Nothobranchius furzeri: one gene and its partner. The protein of the gene in region 2 interacts with the protein of the main gene of each other region in a pairwise test. Links are inferred from orthologs where the notes say so. Each region holds a gene or a part of one and is shown on either strand. Other genes may lie near its edges.

Region 1 (2,358 bases), on a different chromosome or scaffold from region 2:
GCATGTCCTGCCGGCAGGAGGCCCCCGAGTCGACCCAGGACACGTTGGAGAGGTTACATCTCCAATCTGGTCCAGGAACACCTTGGGGTCCTGCCGGAGGAACTGATGGAGGTGGCCGGGGAGAGGACGGTCTGGAGCTCCCTAGTTGGGATGCTGCCCCCGTGACCCGGACCCGTATAAGCAGAGGAAGACGACAACGGCAATTCATGTTTTGTAACATGTAACTTTCATTTTGTAACAGGTAACTTTGGTTTTGTAGCATGTAATTCTCATTTTGTAACGCAATTTTGGTACGTAACATGAAACTTTTATTTTGTAACATGCAGAAAAAATTCAAAGTACTATTTCAAATCATAACTTTCAAAACACAAATCTCAGTCTACAGTTACAAAATTCAAGTCTACAAGTACAAAACATTATGTTCCTATTCTAGCTTGCTTCCAACAGAAATTGTCTTCGAAAAGGAACCCAAGACTCATGATTGGCTGGTCAGACAATGCCTCTCATTGGTTCTTTGGGAAGGAAGCTAGAATTGGGACAAAATGTTTAGTACTTGTAGACTTGAGTTTTGTAACTATAGACTGAGATGTGTGTTTTGAGAGTTGTGATTTGAAACTTGTACATTGATTGTTTTCTGCAAGTTACTAAATGAAAGTTTCATGTTTTGTACCAAATGCTACGTGTTACAAAACAAGAATTACATTCTACTAAACGAAATTTACAGTTACAAAACATGTTACAGATTACAAAGCTTGGTACAAGTTAGATGTACTATTATTCCAATCCTAGTTCCATACTTTGGACCTCTGGAAGAAAACACAAAACTTTCTTTCAAAAAGTAATTTATTATAATCTGTTAAGGCACCTTGATACAACAGAACATTCTCTGTTTAGCTGAACTGTAAGAGAAACGGGTGAACATTCACACCAGTAAATCCACATCTTGCTGGATTTAAGAGGAAACTTTGTCAAAAGTCGAGTTGTACATGACTGAGTAGAAAAGTTTACATTAACACTTAAGTACAGTGTTTTTTGTTAACATTTTAACAAGTGTAATCAAACTTGTTGAGCTGTGCATATCCTTTGGTATAGAATATTGATTGAGATTTGAATATGTCATAAATAAGTGATCTCATCATTCACGTACGAAGGCACTGAAGAACAGCCTGAATCACGTTCAGACACTCAGCAGAAGAGATGACGTCTGATAGATGCCTGAAGCATTTTGAGGACAGCGGTGTCATGGGGGGTCCATTCTTTGGGTACAGCCTCTGTTATGTTCTCTCACCCTGAAGTTTTAGTTCTACCATTCACTCGATGGCACCTGGCCTGGTGGCTACATAGACGAAGAGGATGATAAGCAGCACCACTACAGCCAGGGTAGGAACCACCACGGTGGCCACCTGCTGTCGGGCTTCCTGCATCGCCTGCTTCCGCTCCTTCTTGTCTTTAGATGTCTCCTTTTTAGGTTTGCCTTTGAGCTGCCTCATGATGCTTCAGCGATGTCTCCGTCTGCTTTAGTCACACCTAAGTAAACGCAAAACAGCATACAAGTTTTCTTTGAGTAAACTGCTGAGCTTAAAGAGCAAGTTACCCCCTACCAGAGTCTAACTCCACTCCCACTTCATGTTTGAAAAATGCAACACATGCTGTTGCCTGGCAGACCGAGAGGGCGGAGCCACTAACAAATACACACACACTCACGACAGCATAGTGACATCATAATGTACCAGTTTACATCATAGCATACCTCTTAGCCAATAGCGGTGGCAGATTTAAATTAAAATACAGTGCAGAGTTTTAACCTGACAACGGCACAACACTGCCAGTTTTAGGCAGAATATTTAAATTTGAACTAAGATGCACTGAAGTGCCAAATTATTGACGACACGTGTCTGCAGCACGATTAGACACTCGTTTATTTAGTTTATCAGCAAAAAAAAGTTTATTTGGGGGTGACTTGCTCTTTAAACTTCAGGAAAGCCTTTCAGTCAAATGCACTCACACAATTCAACTGCACACAAACAACGTGTACTATGGCAAAAGGGCTGGAAGGGTGGGAAAGAGACCAATCGGACAAAAACACGTTGAAGAGATGAAGATGTTGGCCATTTAATTATCTTGTTAATTTTAATGTAAAACTTTGGGTGGTAGTTAAAGACACTGTCTGTTTAATTACCATTATGGGATGGTCAATGATTGCCGTCCTCAAAAAGCGTACGCTCACCTAAAGGATTATTAGGAACAGCTGTTCAACTTCTCCTTAATGCAATTATCTAATCAACCAATCACGACAGTTGCTTCAATGCATTTAGGGGTGTGGTCCTGGTCAGTGGTGTGTCCACATCTTTTAAAATG
Region 2 (3,837 bases):
AAGTAGATTTATTCCAGCAGTGGCAGCTCGTTACCTAAATTACTTTCATAATATTCAAATCAACATAGAGTATTACAAAAATGTTGAGATATTTAAAGAGAAGATCATAAAGAGTTTAATGTTATTATTTCTGAAACATTCAGACATTAGTTTAAACACTGTTAGGCTCTTAACTAGTCAGTCACATAAACACAACTGGACAGACCGCTTTTCTGAGTGTTAAATAAACCAGAGGAAAGCTGCTTCGAAAGCACAGATGTCTAATCAGAGTGCACATAAAAACGTGTGTGATGTTTTTGCAGGGAGTTCCATTTCCGTCACCCTCGACGCTCCGTAACGCTCAGCATGAGGAAGACCGGCGCCATGAAGAAAGGAGGCATCTTCTCTGCTGAGTTCCTCAAAGTGTTCATCCCCTCGCTGCTGCTATCACACATCCTGGCTCTGGGGCTGGGGTAAGAGTGCCTCACATCACCTTTATGGTTGTATATATTTAAATTATTTATTTTCTTGCCATTTCAGGTTTAATTTACCATAAGGAGTGGTCTGTAGCTCAACTTTAGAGATGTTGTCTTTTAGTTGTTAGGTTGATCCAACTGTCAGTTTGTTTTGGAACAGGAAAATGAATCCCAGTTTGCCTCCAATATGTGGGATTTTAATCCAGACATGTTGTAAAATTTACTGCACTGATTTCTGATTTGCTTCAACTGAGTCTTCCTCGGTCAGAAAGAACTCTCGGAACCAACTCCATTGGTACAGTTCAAGCTGTTTATTAGCATTCTGTTCCAGTGTGTACAGATGTCCTCAATATGTGTGTGACTGTGGGTGTATAGAGCTCCGGGAGTTGACGTCACGTTTCCCGGCATGCAACAGTTCAAATCGAAACGGCGCCATATTGGCAGGCAGAAGCCGGCAGCTGGACTATTTGTTATTGTCAGAAAACTCAATTAAACAGGAAATATGGTAGATTCCTGTTGTGCCCCAGGATGCAGAACAGACGCGGACGACATAAGGAATGAGCCATCTACAGGATTCCCCAAGATCCGGAGCGCCGCAAACGTTGGATCATTGTAATAAAACGCACTAGTGACCGAGCTAAAATGAAGCTGTGGGACCCCGAGAGTAAAGGTTTTCGCTTATGCAGCGACAACTTCATATCAGGTACTTAAACCAACGTTTCCTCAGCTGTATATGGTATTTATTTTAAATGCTTTTATTATGATTCTTAGTGGGCTTCCTAAACTTATTTTGACGTGGCTTTTTCTGTCTTATTACTCATAGCAGCAAGTAAACATCACGTAAAACATTGCCTTGTGAGTTCTGCGTGCTGCCGTTTCCGTGTTTTATGATGACAGCAATTAACCGGCTAAGCTGTATTTAATTTTTAAGCAATGGTTGATCAATTGTCAGATCACACATAAAAAGCACTTTGGATTGCTATTATCTGTCTCACCGAGACTACTTACGTGTAAATCTGTTATTTGTCCGTCCATCCATCCATTTTCATCCGCGTATCCGGAGTCGGGTTGCGGGGGCAGTAGCGTGACTTCCCTCTCCCCAGCCGCCGGAGCCAGCTCCTCCGGGTAAATCCCAAGGGGTTCCCCGGTCAGGTCCGGTGTTGTGCCGGTAAGAAGCCCGCTCCGACAGCTTCTGGCATTTTTAAAAAGTATCCCAGGGGCACGGTAAGGGTCGGAGATGTTTAGTCTATTTAATTTCTGACTATATAAAACGATTTCTTCTGTTTTAAAGTGTGAAGTAAACTCCGACGAAGTAAAATCCAAGCGGATCCCGTTCATGTTCATGGTTACATCCGTGTTTGTTTACCTTTTTTGCATGCCAAAATGGCGTCTACTAACTGAGAGTCACGTGGGGTCCGGAGCTCTATACATGGGATGTGATGTGATGTGGTTATCTAGAAAATACAAATAAAGGGGAGAGAGATCAACAGACAGCAATACATGATGGTCAATCTACAACTCTATACAATGATTTTGCAACTCTAATACCATAATTTACACAACCATAATACGTCCACCAGATGGCACTATCAAGCGACAGAGACTGATAAATATCAGCTAACTTTAACAGGCTCAACTGGGCTGCATGGTGTCGCAGTGGTTAGCACTGTTGCCTCGCAGCACGAAGGTTGCAGGTTCGAAACTCGGCTGCGGCCTTTCTGCGTGGAGTTGCGTGTTCTCCCCTTGCATGCGTGGGTTTCCTCCGGGTACTCCGGTTTCCCCCACAGATCACAACATGCCCTACAGGTTATAAATTGTAAGTCGCTTTGGATAAAAGCGTCTCCTAAATGAATAAACATAAACATAAACTGGCCAACAGTTCAAAGATTGGAGACGCACCACTAATAGATCCAGTCCAGCGACTAGGATAAATAGCAAAGCAAACACACCCCCAATACACTGTAGGCCCCATTATGGCGTTGGGTTCTGTAAATCTGTACTATACAGACTAAACAGTCCACAAACGACAATAAACAACAATAGAGGACATCTATCCATGTTTATACGTGCACATACATTCAGCTCAGCTTCCATACTCACACAAGTATGCACACAGGAGGTATACACCCAGGAAACACCGACAAACACCTCAACTTTTTTCACCTGCTCAGTCAGCAAAACAGCGGGGCACACTCAGGAAATATGCTGAGGTGCATCATGGGAAATGTAGTGTGATCAATGCACCGCAAACGGGGGACTTTTAACATATGTTCTAAATATTTGTAAGTCAAATCTTCACTGAAGAGTCCCAGAGTTGACGTGGACGTCTGGAACCCGCTTTTAATCCACCTCCTTTAAGTTTTCATCTATCAGATAATGTGAGACAACTTTGGGAGGGATTGGTGTCCAGATTGTAAAAAATAATAAGATACTGTCTGTTTTCATGAAGACACGTTGTCGTTTGTAATTATGTCCTATGCCTCATGTGACCTTTCCAGATATAAAACCGGTATTTTTATAAAGCACAAGACTATTTTTCCGAACTAGACCATCAATTTGTGAAGGGCTAGAAATGAAAATATTGCCCTCTGCTACGTTCCTCTGAGAGGCTGAAGAGAGTAAAGATGGAACAGTTGATTCAAAAGATGCAACAGACAGAGACCGACTATAGTGAAATTTACTTTCATGTCTCGAGAACTCAGTTATAAAAACTCAAAGGTTATCAAAAAGTTGTCAGAGAGGACTGGATTATGTGGAAATATCGTTATTTCCTCAGACTCTATGCCATAAGTCAGCACAAGGTCTAATGCATGATGGGAGGAGTGGATGGAGCTATGTATTCTTTGGCTAAAACCAATTCAATCTAATATATTACAAAAGGCTACATTGAGGCAATCATTTTCAATGTCCACATGAATGTTAAAATCCCCCACTACAATGACCTTATCGGTATTCAGCACCAAATCACATAAAAAACCAGAGATCTGATCCAAAAACTCAGAGTAAGGGCCTGGTGGTCCTCGTCCTCGTCTTCCTCCACTTATCCGGGTCTGGGTCGCGGGGGCAGCAGCCCAACTAGGGAGCTCCAGACCGTCCTCTCCCCGGCCACCTCCACCAGCTCCTCCGGCAGGACCCCAAGGCGTTCCCAGACCAGATTAGAGATGTAACCTCTCCAACGTGTCCTGGGTCGACCCGGGGGCCTCCTGCCAGCAGGACATGCCCGAAACACCTCCCCAGGGAGGCATCCAGGAGGCTTCCTGACCAGATGCCCAAACCACCTCAACTGGCTCCTTTCGATCCGGAGGAGCAGCGGTTCTACTCCGAGTCCCTCCCGTATGTCCGAGCTCCTCACCCTATCTCTAAGGCTGAGCCCGGCCACTCT

The links.
Region 1: the proteins of bnip3lb (region 2) and smco4 interact in binary tests that used the Homo sapiens proteins (3 or more experiments, as listed by UniProt). The two-hybrid records come from large-scale screens. The link is inferred for Nothobranchius furzeri from reciprocal best matches to the Homo sapiens genes BNIP3L and SMCO4.

What each region holds. Positions count from the first base shown.
Region 1 is NC_091753.1:61,339,896-61,342,253, reverse strand, and holds the end of smco4 (single-pass membrane and coiled-coil domain-containing protein 4), read right to left. Parts: intron 1,528-2,358; 5' UTR 1,491-1,527; coding exon 1,311-1,490; 3' UTR 826-1,310; downstream 1-825.
Region 2 is NC_091746.1:40,539,390-40,543,226, forward strand, and holds part of bnip3lb (BCL2 interacting protein 3 like b), read left to right. Parts: intron 1-302; coding exon 303-452; intron 453-3,837.